2 linked regions of the Drosophila melanogaster genome follow. The protein of the gene in region 2 interacts with the protein of the main gene of each other region in a pairwise test. Each region holds a gene or a part of one and is shown on either strand. Other genes may lie near its edges.

Region 1 (6,451 bases), on a different chromosome or scaffold from region 2:
CGGGATGGGGCCGGGGGTGCGTAGCACAGCACCGCTTTGATAGCCAGTGGAATGTTAATAAACTTGTTTTGATACGACAGACAGCCAAATCTCGGGCACAAGGTCAACGAGGACAAGGACGCGGGGAGCGAGTTTTCCGAGTCCTGCGAGCAGCTGCCAGCAAAGAAGCCGCAGCCAAAAGCCAAGCTAACCAGTCTGACAATCTGACAATCTGACAGGAAGTCAGCAGGTGGTCCAACTGGTCTGGCTTCACTGTACATATATATAAGCGATAAGTGCCGCACTGCCTGCGCAACGAAACCTCAGTAGAAAAATATGGCGGGACCTGCCACGAAGCTTCTGGATAAATATTAAGCCATGAGGCTTAACTTTATTTTTATACACTGTTCAATAAAAAACATAAATAATATCTAAAACTATATACAAGCAATTGGAATAGATGTAATTGGTGAAATATGATTTGCTTCGAAAAATAAATGAGCCAATCGAAGCAGCAAATCATTTATGAATTACCGCATTTCCGCTCAGTGTAGATAAGCGATAATGCAGTTAGTTGAAGAGCAGGGTGCGCAGGGGAAGTGCAGCAGCATCCGGAAACGGAAGCGACGGCAAGGCAACACGGATGCCAGCGGATGTCAAACATTAAACACTTGCGGAGGGTCAGGGAAAGAATAAAATATAAAAAGTGACGGGTGGCAGTTAGGCATTTAACATATTCTATGGAAATCCGCTGGCAAACCATTCAAATGCTCGTGCACAGTACGTAATGCTTTAAATTTGCAAATCTGTTTAAAGGCTTATTGGTGCCGCTTGATTGATTAGGCAGGATATTCCTAGGGCCTTTCCCTTCCACAACACTTACACTTCATTAACTTTTGGGTAATAAAAGTGGGAGCTAGGGAAAAGACACTGATAGAAATTGGAGATTCTAGATAATTTCGATATTTAACTGAATTGTATGAAAATTGTATGTAAATTAAATATTGATCATAATGAGTTTGCAAAATAAATCGCTTAGAATATATGTATATTTAATTTTATTCCGTTAAAGGCTGCATATTTTGCGTTCAGTGCACAAATAGGACTATATGTATGTGTGGCGAATCTAATTTACGATTTGTGCTATTAAATATGCGCAAAGTAAAATTGAAAATTACAAAGAACGTGAAAATGCGAAAACATGGGAAAATGGGAACAGTCGGCGCTAAAAGTCAACTGCCAAAAGTGTACAAAAGATTTATAAACAAGATATATACACATACACACTGGCCATATACATATGTGCGTGTGTGTGTGTGTGGGTATTGCTTCTTGTTCTTTTTATTTTATTTTATTTATTTTATGTTGACAGCAAATTGCGGCGCCCGTCAGCTTGGACTTTTCCTGTGCTATTCCCGTTATTCTTGTTATTTTTGTCATTTGTGTTGTTGTGGTTGCTGGTACATTTTTAATGTTTTGGCTCTTTTCATTTGGCCCACAAACACACACGCACGCTCAGGCACACACACACACACACACACTTGTAGCCACACATGCGTGACAAAATTGTTGGGCTCTTCTCGTGAATTTGGTTGTTCTTTTATTTTCTCCTGGCTGTGGGTTTTTCGCGTTTTCTTCGGCGGGCGGAAAACTTGCTCTCAAGATTTACTCGGCATTTCTGTGCTGGTGCCATTTGGCATTGTTTGCATACTTCCAGGCGCAAAAAGTGGGCCGACCCATTCAATTTTCCCCCTCTCCGTCTCGCTCTGTTTATCGCCCCCTCTCCTTTCGGCATCAAATGCTTTAAATATTTAAGTAGTTTCACCCGTTTCCTGTTGCTGTGACTCACAGTATGTGTGTGTCTGTGAGAGTATACATATGTAAGTGTGTGCGTTTGGGAGCGTTTGTAATGTTGCGCCTGTGTGGGTGTAAAGGGCATCAATATCAATCTTGTACGGATGTCAACTAACGCAGGCCACCCACATTTGCACTCTTTTTCACCTTTACATTGAAACTTTTATCACTTAAACATATACGAATCGAATATACCCTTTTGCTCTGCGAGCACCGGAAATACAATACAAATACTCCTTCAAATTCAGTTGGCAGCAAAGTTAAATTCGTATTGCATAGGCGCACTGCATATCTGAAATTCGTAAAAACTATATTTATAGCACACTTATTTGGTGTTCTGCTCAAGGACCGTTTTCTTTTTCTCACTGCAGCTAGATTAAGTTGCCACATGGGCATAAGTGCACTGATTAAATAATACAGACTTCATTTTCCCACAAAAATAAACGTATTTTGTTGTCTTTTGAACTTCTGAGCGCAATTACTGTCAAACTGTAAGCGTGTGTTGCGTTTGACACTTATGCAACCGCAAAGTGCGTTGTGTGTGCGTGTGTGTGAGTGCTTGTGTGTTGGTTGCACTTGAAAAACAAGCAATTGATGTAGTTGCTAAAACTTTTTTCGCTTTATTTGCTTGCTGACATAATTGCGCATTTCATTTTCTGTTGGCTGACACACATTCAATGACGGGGAGTAGGAAATAGCTGGAAAAACATCAAGAAATTAAGAAAACAATAAGGAACCAGCGCAAAACTGAATAAATAAATAATGAAAAAACGAAGCATGAATCGACGGAAAACCAAGAGCACGCAAATTTAACTTATTATGTTCCATTTTTCCACGACTCCGACTCCTGGCTCCCTGCTCATTTCAATTTTCTTTGCTTTTCCTTACATTTTCTTTCGGGCAAAACTTCGCCGTTCGCGCTGTCTCTTTTGCGCCGCCAGGAAAAAGTTTTAGCGCCGACAGCGACGCCGGCAGAACGACAAAAGACAACAATTACAATTAGAAGTGTGTTTATGCCGCCTTCTCGCTCACTCTTCCCCTTTCGCTAGCTTCCTTTTCTATATATTATTTCATTTTATTTTTTTCCCCATTTCTTTGCGGCAAGTAAAAGAAATTCAAGTTTATTACACAATATTTCGTCCTAGCCTTTTGTGATTACCTTTTGTTGCTTTTTGTTGTTTGTTTAGTTGCTTTTTGATTGCTTTTAAATGGTGGTTAAATATATATACATATATGTATATATATGTTTAATATATATATAAGTATGTTTATTTTTAGTGTTATTCCGCTGATTCCGATACTTTCTTTGATTCCGATTCTTCACTGGTTTTCGCTGGATTCTTCAATTCTTTTCAATTTTTCCTGCCTTCGCCGTATTTGCGATGTGATTATTCTGCAACGCGTTCTTCGCGTTTCACTTTGCACTGCAGTTGAGCAGCGTAGGTGAAGGTGGTGGTGGAGGAGGACAAGAAGAAGAAACAACAATTAACGGGACACGAAGAAGCACACAACAAACAAGAAAGAACATGAAACGAGAAACGCGTAGGATCAGCAGCGTGCAACAATTGCCGACTGCGACGCCTACTGCGACGTCGACACGTGCGCGGCGCCCCCACTTCCCCCTTCCATAAATCCCCTCTCGCCACACCACCACCCCCTCCCACCGTTTACACTGTTGTAATTTTCAAAATATTTCAGGCGAAAAAAAAATAAAAAAAAATCGTATTCGATTGGCGCACACAAAATGCTGGATTTATTTGCTGGATTTTCGAACTGGAGGACGAATCCCGGATTCTGAGGACCGCTCGACGCGAGAGTTGCGTCTTCATAGTTTTTCGCGACTACGCACCTAAAAGTCGACTACGAGTGAGTTGCGCGCTGCTAGAGCTGGGAAAACATCGATGTCGCTGCCGATTGTACCGTTACTTTCACATTGACAATCATCGATGGTGTGCAGCGTTCTACCCACCCGCTAGGTGGCGCTACTCACGTTAGTATCGATATATCAGCACGTATGGCAAAAACGGTTAAATGGCAAAGAAACACGATTCCTATCGATTTTCAAATAAATAAACTGGGCGAATTTAAAGAGCTCCATTCACTGGAAAAATGATATAGTCGTCAGAGAGAGTAGTTGGCCACGTTTTAATGATCTAATCTTTTCCATTTTTTATTCGTCACCCTTCAGTCAGTCAGTCAGTCCATTTCCCTTTGCACCAAAATTTTGTACTCATTTTTCAGGCATCTTTTGTGATTGAAAATTGATTTGTACAAACTTTAGCTGAGTTCGCCATGTATACCAAAAGGTGTCTCAGTGATGTGCTATGCTACATTGCGCACAGGTATATGGATATACCCTTACCCACCTGCAGAACATACTCCATCTGGAAGTTCCCGCCTAATTTCGATGCGAACAATCAGCGTGCAGGCAGATTGTTTTGGTTCTCCGAGCAGATATTCCCCCTCATGTTCTACTATGCTCTGGGCATTAGTATCATTGGATCGGTGCGTATATGCAAATTGCTTTATATTTCAGATGTGCATTTATTACACCTATCTCAACACAGACTCACAATTGTCTAGAATTCATAAGCATTTTGTTCAAGAAGGCGCATCTGAAGAAGTCGCATCGGCTAAGGAAGGTAAAGAATTTCAAATACAAGCAATTGCGCCGCTTTCGTATCATCGGATGCATTTTAATGTTAACGGCGTGGACAATACTGCTATACGCCTTGGCCACCGTGAGTACTAAAAATATCATATACAAAAAAAAAAAAAACGATATCTATTCAAAAACTTCTTTGAATTCCATTAATATATTGTAAACATTATTTGAATCCAGCTCAAGCCGCATTACATTGGTCCATGGTTTGTGATTTATGCCACCATTACATCCATCGATATATTATTGGTGCTGTCAGATGCCTTAGTGAACAGGACTATAGGCAACGGCTTCTTGTTCAAGACTTTGATCCCGGTTATCAACTTGTACTGTGTCCTTTCTGTGCGGTCGACTCTCAGGCAACTGATCGAATTTTACGGTTATCAGGATGTTGTTTGGTGGTCAATGGAAAGATATGCCCCATAAATTGTCAAAATAAGTGAAAATAATATTTAACTACATTTTACGTCGTACTGTATTTTTCTCATATTAACAAAATGTAATAAAAAAAATTAATTATTTAACAAAAACAGCGCCACCTGGATGTTGTGCCGAGTAATGGCAATTGACCAACAGGTAGCGCACATGTGCAACATTGTTATTAACGCTTCAATTGTTATAAAGCTTTTGGTTTTTAAGCTTTATGGATCACATTTTATCCTAAAGAACAACTTAGGCTTAGAGGAACTTAATAAATAGATCTGTTTTAAATAGGAATTGAAAGCTTCTTTTTGAGGTTAAAAAACCCATTTAATAATATGTAATGATTAATATTGGTACTAAACATGATTTTAGGAATCATGAAATATGACAAAATGTAATACTGTCACTTTCTATCTATCTATTAAATATTTGTTATAAAATAAAAATAAAAATATAGAATTAAAAAAAAAATGGCTAAATAACCATTACTGATGTCTAAACCCACCCCCGCAAGCAGCGTGTTCGCTCACCATCTACCTCTCTTTTCAAGAGAGCACGTTGCAAAGACGTTCAGACCCGCCACCTCCGCGCTCCACGGCACCCTTTTTTTAGGACAGAGCATCAAGTTGGTGGCAGTTCCCCAGCGAACACTGAGCACAACAGATTACCGAATTAGTGCGCAGGTGTTTGCGTGAGTGATAGACGAAAAACTGTAACCTGTGGCAAATCCCCCCACTAAAAACTGATAAAACAACTGAAAAGGCTGTTGGGTTCACCTCTGAAATCTAAATCCCACCCATAACCAAGCTCGAAAATAGCCAAGATAAACAAGTTGGAGCTGCAGCAAATGAAAAGAAAAACAGACGTATAATAATAAAACAAAAAAGCAACGAAAAACGAAGCCAAAAACTCACATGCAACCGTCTTAATGAAGTTGAGAAAAACTGGTTTGCTGAGATAAACATTTTGGAGTTTGTTTTGGTCCCGCTTTCAACGGTCATAAGGGGAAGGGGGCTGAGCCAGGGTCCAAAGTTCAACACAAAACAGCACCAAGAAAGTACGACGACTCGTTTGCGCGAAACGCACACATTTTGCATGCTCCCGCACAGGCTAGTTCGAACTTTTAGCATATCCAACATCTGTACGCAAAATATCATAAAATCTTCTCTTGGCATTACACAGAAATTACTTATTGATCGTTGGGCTTCTTTATAAGTCTCAAGAGAAAGTTGAGACAAACGAAGTCAGTATCTTTTATTATTTACATAAGTAGATCTTATCATTTAGTTTTTAAAATAACCTTTAAAGCCCCACGTAGTTCTTTACGCTTTATTTAAAAAAAAAAATGATCCGAAACGTTAACATTTCGAAGATCTCTATCATAGAAACATGATTTATATTTAAGACTGGTTATACCAAACTTAACAGATAATACATTAGTGATCCATTATAGCACGTTTACTAATTTAATTAGCCATTATACTTTCAATATTCACAATTAATAAGCCTGTGGTGCTATAATTGTGAGCTCAA
Region 2 (6,116 bases):
GTTTAAATAGCACACGTTTAATTACTCATATAAATTATCTTGAATGTTAATCTCTCGAATAGACAACTAAATTGGGTTTGCTCAAATCAAATTACTGCCGGGCACGTCTTTTAATTAATTATAATTAATAATTTACTCCCTTTTGGGCCAAAACAAACGCAGATTGTGGCATTGTGGCAATTCTGCCCGATTCTCACCAAGCAACCGCCTCGCTGTAGACAAAACCGGCAACAGCACGCCGCACAACCTCGAAGCACAAGTCGGAGCCCTCCATGCTGCAAGAGTGCAAAGCGAAAGGACATTAGCGATGGGCACAAGGACACCACCGAACCTGACAACTTACAACTCGAAGACCATGTAGAGCATTCCCTCGGAACTGTACGTCTCCAGCAGCTCTACAATGTGCGGATGCTTTAACATGTGACATATTGTGGCCTCGCGCTTCAGATCTGCAAAAAGAAAAAAATATGCAGAGAATGGGGGCGTGAGTTCAGATTGAACGAGGTTGGGGCCAACAGCGGCAATTAGTTGACATTGGAATGGGGCACGTGGGGAGTACCACCCACTACACCAGCTGGCAGTGGCACTAATGGACTTAGCGCTGACTTATGTGCCTGCCATGTATCATTTAGTCAATGGTCGGATGGCTGCTCCTCGTCCACATTCACATCCACGTCCGGGTTCGTGTCCATGTCCTGATTCAGGCTCAGGTCCTGGCGCCCTTGCACTTGAGCAATTTCTTTTTAATTGGCGTCTTGGGCTGGCAAACGGGCAGCCCTGGGGGCGTGCTACACGTGTGGCAGCGGCATAATTTTGAATAATTGAGCAGCTTAATTATAATTTATTCACACAGCGCTCTGGAGGAGTCAGGAATCGGTAGCCCGGGGCCAAATCGAACAAGGTCGTCTCATTGTGCCGTCAAAAATAAAAGCGGAGTGTATACATATATATATAGGTGTATTGTGTATATAATCCTCACCCGCTGTGCTCAGTCCAGGACTCGCTGTGAACTTGGCCACATCAACGATTTTGACGGCAAACTGCTGATTGGACTCCCTGTGTATGCATCGCCTTACGATGGAGAAAGGTCCTCTGTAAGAAACAATCCCGGATGGGGGGGGAATAAAGTAAATTCGGATTAAACTTCAATTGAAAGTTGATTGTGTCTAAATGGGAGCGAATAAAATTTTATCTTGCTTCGACAAAAGCAAAATATTTATATTTTCCGAGCGTCTAAAAGCAAACAAGATACTTGAGAAAGAGGAAATTTAATCAACTATGTATTCTCTTTGTAGTTACAAACGTGGGGTTTTAATACAAAAGCTTGCCATAACATTACTGATGATTATTTTACAAATAAATTTTAATTTTCTTACAAATTCCTATTCAATAACTCATTTAAAGTCAAGCAACGATTTCCTATCATCTTGTTTTATGAGCGTGATTAATTTTTATTGAACTATGTCACCAAGCTGAATTTGGAAAACTATTGCGATTCAAGGTCGTCATTTTGCTTATAGTTTATAGATTATAAATTGCAAAAAATTAAAAAACGTGCTATTTAGTGACTCACACTTCATTTTCAATAAACTTTAGAAGTGTGTTAATGGAACATTTTCAACATCAGTGAAAAATATTTTTCCAACGAAATTAAACAAAGTTCAACTTAATAACATTGACAGCTTTGTGAATGAACTTCTGGCTAAACTATGATGATCACAGCAAAAGTAACTAGCACAGAAAATGTTTGGTCATACATTTTTGAATAATGCAAAAGTTGGGCGTTTGGGAAAGTTTTTTATAGAGGGGAGCTGGCTTCGTCCCAGGCCAATAGTTGCATGATTTACGGCTTCTGGGTGGGTGGGATGGGCATACGGGGCGGATACATAATACATAATGAGATAATGGCCATGGATGCCAGCTGTCAGCAGCAGAATCGGCTAAAGATATAGCCGGTGGGGCGCTAACTTACTTGCCAATGACCTCGCACAGCTCGTAGACGTCGTCAAAGAGAATTTCGTCTTCGGTCATTTTGAATAATTGATGAATTGATGCCTCGACTCAATTGCTTTTTCGAATATTGATGAGTTGTGTCCTGTTTTTCGTGTCCGTCGCTTTTCCTTCTCCCGCTTCCTTTGCCCGTCGTCGCCTACTGCCCTCCAAAAACGAACATAAAAAATAAACAAAAAACTAAGCGGCCAGTGAGCAACTCCAAAACTTTGAGCGTTTTCCTTCGGTTTCTTCTGATGATTTGTTGTTAATGGTATTGTTATTGGTGTCGTTGATTCGTTGTTGCCGCTAATGCTGTTGCTGTTTTCGTAGCTGCTGATGTTAAGAATGCATTTTGCGCTGGAAAAATATAACAAGTGAAAATGGTGAAGGTGAGTTTTTCCATTAGTTGAAGGCCGCTAATCAGATTTATTTGGCGTCTAATTAAGAAACTGTCAAGAAGCTTTGCGAGAATTCTGTCAAGCAGATGACGCAAATATAAACAAATTTGTTTACATTTGTGAAAAATTATACACAGATTTTAATCAAGAAAATTTGCTAATAATTTCCTAAATATTTTGTAATCTTACTTACAAACTAAGTTAAGTTTATAATGCTATCTGAATCAATCAAATTGAAAATGCCACTATAAAGTTGGGCTGGCGTGTTGACACTTGTGTGATGGGAACACTTTTCGAGGGACCACTGTTAATGGTGTCGCAACGGAAATGAGACTGGCCTGGCCGAAACTTGTTTGATATGTCAATCACACTCATATCAGGTGTAAACCCCAATCAATTACAGGCGGCACACACCACAAATGCACAAAATGCTGTCGAAAGTGCCAATGGTAGGAAGGAAGTATCCCCGCACAGTGGGCGTTGTGAATTTTGCAACGGAAATGATGGCCAGCTGAAAAGGTAAACAAGCCAGCAGGACCTGCAGAATGTGTCCTTTTCGAGGGTCTCGTTCCAAGGATGTTCGCGGGGAAAGTTCGCAGGGGGGGAGGGTGGATGGGAGGCGCTACCTTTGTCTTGGCCATACTATTATTATGCCTTTTGGTCCAGCACTTGAACATACTTTTCAAAACTTTGATGGCACTCCAAAAATCCGAAAGGAGAAAGCCAGAGAGCGAGAGAGTGTGAAAGAGAGCGAAGGAGTGCGAGAAAGATGGCGAGCATGGATGTAAAGTGCGCCGGCGCCGTGGGAAATTCGTGTAAAGCACCAAAATTGTAATCGTAAAAAATATAAGCTATGCTTTCTGCCCGGGCTGCATGAATATTTAAATGTGCAACAATTTACGATGCACACACGAAATGTGGAGAACTGAGTTGCGACTGCGAGAGCAGGACGGAGCATTTGCGGGGAATCCCCGCGAAGGACTTTCTGGTAGTCATGTTTAATGCAGAGCTGCGCATGGGGCGCGGTGTTTTTGGCTCGGTTTTAGTATTCGGGCTCGAGGGTTTTACCTTGCTCGTGTGCCGCTGTTGTAAAATGCCTTGACACTTTCCACACGACCTTACCGCCCACCTCACTAACGCACCCACCCACACCCACATACACTCACTCACTGACTATGTGTGTGCATTTGGCCCTGCTTTTAGGACTTTTTGAGACTCTCGAGTGTCGCACAATTGGCAAATTGATTCTTTGTCTAAAGGATTTGCATTGCTCATGTTCCACGCCCCCTTATCAACGACACCGCCCCCTTTATCGGCCACACATAGAGGGGGCCACACTCACACCACACACACACACACACACACGAACACACACTGGCACGAACAATTCGCATATAGTTTTATGTACGAAAACCCACCGATTTGGCAGCGATTCTTCAACGGCCGCTGGTTTTTGGCATTTTAGCGAATCGCATTAGCACTCGATTGTCTAGGTGCGCAGCACGAATCGCCTGGCAAGCTGATTGCATTGGGTAATTTACTAATTTTAACTTAAAACAAACACGGCCCGTGAGGAATTGATTGGCGAAGAACTGGTTGCAACTGAACCGGTTCGCCGCGAACTAGAATTCCAGGGCTGCAGGTGCATTGCTGGATTGGTTCGGAACTTGGAGTCGGTTCACGGCTCTCCCATTGAAAATTGATACCAACCTGTGTTCATTAAAAATATTGTTTTTAAAATAAATTTAAGGGTGGTACTGCAGCAACTTACTTCGTTAATCAAAGTTTTAATTCAAGAAAGTTTGTTTGAATCAAGCAACTGGTTATACTGGAAAAATACCAGAAACCCGTTGGTATCTAAGCTTTTCTGTCATTTTGTTATTAACTTTATTTGGTCTGTTAAAATTTGCGCGGAAGTTTTTGAAAAAAAGTTTTGGGGACGAGAAAGTATAATTTTGGAATATTGTTAAGAATATAGTCATTCATAACGACACAGATGTTTTATCGAAATTGAAAATAAATACTATTAAAACTTTAATTTTGTTAAAGAAAAAGTAAATTATATTTTCCTGCTCCTTTCTCTTCGGTAGCATTTTGCATATGCTTTTATTTGCTTGACTTATCAGCAAAAGGCAGTTGTTTTCCTTTGATAAATACCCACTGCATGCTTAATAAATTTACTCGAAAGTAAGATAATTCATTGCACACTGAATTGTTTCCGCTTGAGTGAAGTCAAATGGAGGTAAATATTTATGCGGTACGCAAGCAAGTGCATAAAGCTATTGTGGAATATTGCACATACGAATTTCGAACACTTTCCAGTTTTATCGGCAATACGATGCCAATTACCATTCATCAACTTGAAAGTAAACATTTTCCCCTTCAAAAATGATTCACGATTTATTTAACTGGACTAAGCCACCAGTGTGTTAATACAGGGATTTTCACTACAGAACCTTTATCAACTTACTTTATCGCCAGGCTCGTTCACAGCTCATTGAATATTACCATATTATTTACATTACTTCTCTTTCGCGCCATTCAACTTTATCTATTATTATTATTATTACCCCACAGCATTTGATAAACCCATTAGAATAAATTAAGATCTTGGCATTAATATGCCAGGCACACACACAGGAGTCCCTCAACCGAAGACGAGGAAAACCCACACGCACTCCTCGAAAATAAAAAATAAAAACCGTAGGTGCGTAATCTTTAAATCAGTTGGAAGGGGCTGGTGACGGGGGCCAATACTCAAACATAAACATCATCAATTACAAAACCTCGAACAGCAACAACAACAACAATCACCGCCAAACGCCCAACGACAACAACACACAGATAAGATGCAAGAGAAACAACAAGCCAATAAGGGAGCAACAAACACAAAACCATCAGCCAAATGAAGAAAGACCTGATGAAAATGAACTCAATATGGCCATATTACTACGGGGGATATAGTCGAAAAGGATAAGCACCAACAACCATTTCGAGATGAGCAGCAAAAACAACAAGTGTTAATGATCAGCAATAACAACAGTGGTCACCCACTAATGTCCACCTTTCGATTGTAAAATAGCAGCCAATTAAATTATACGCACTATGAAATATTCAGAAATAATAAAAAAGTAATTAATTTTTTTTTTAATTTATACAACTTCTTTCATAATTTGTGAGATCAATCAAATAGTTTGGGTATAAACTAAAAAGTACACACCTTCCTCATTCTTAAGTGGTTTTACCTACTTGTATCAGCCAGCTAAAATATATAGAAAAGAAAAAAAAATTTTGTTTTTTTATTTAAAACGCGAATCTTGAAAAATATATATATATAAAAATATTATCCAATTACCACTGTACCCTAATAAAAAAAAAGCACAAAGCGGAGATATAATACACAACTCACGGTGAGAAGTCGTAGGTCGTTGCTTTGCATTTGTTTGCTGCGTTGGTTGACAATAAAAAAAAAAAACAAAAACACCAAAAGGAACACGGTAAGCAGAGCAGAAGGAAAAAATCGGAAAACAAAAATACTCGACTCGATAAAAGGAGAACAACAAAAGGGCAGGGAAAAAGGCTCAGCCACTCAGGTGAAATCAAAATCAAATTCAACGCCAACGATCGACTCATCCCCATCCCCATCGCGGTTACCTTTCCCAGTTGCTGCCAGTTCCTTGTTTCTTGCCCCGCATATCCTCGCTCCATTCGCCGTCTCTTTCTGTG

What was found. The genes of interacting proteins can lie anywhere in the genome.
Region 1: the proteins of CASK (region 2) and eag interact in binary tests that used the Drosophila melanogaster proteins (3 or more experiments, as listed by UniProt).

What each region holds. Positions count from the first base shown.
Region 1 is NC_004354.4:14,952,671-14,959,121, reverse strand, and holds the start of eag (ether a go-go), read right to left. Parts: upstream 3,646-6,451; 5' UTR 3,573-3,645; intron 3,258-3,572; 5' UTR 2,993-3,257; intron 1-2,992. Other genes in the region: CG9030 (uncharacterized protein), read left to right, coding at 4,126-4,338, 4,401-4,574, 4,676-4,921. UniProt on the Drosophila melanogaster protein: Structural component of a potassium channel. Mediates the potassium permeability of membranes; potassium current is regulated by CaMKII and CASK. Has a role in growth of the perineurial glial layer of the larval peripheral nerve.
Region 2 is NT_033777.3:21,818,675-21,824,790, forward strand, and holds the start of CASK (CASK), read right to left. Parts: upstream 4,001-6,116; 5' UTR 3,809-4,000; intron 2,350-3,808; 5' UTR 2,032-2,349; coding exon 1,973-2,031; intron 1,093-1,972; coding exon 980-1,092; intron 450-979; coding exon 344-449; intron 276-343; coding exon 198-275; intron 1-197.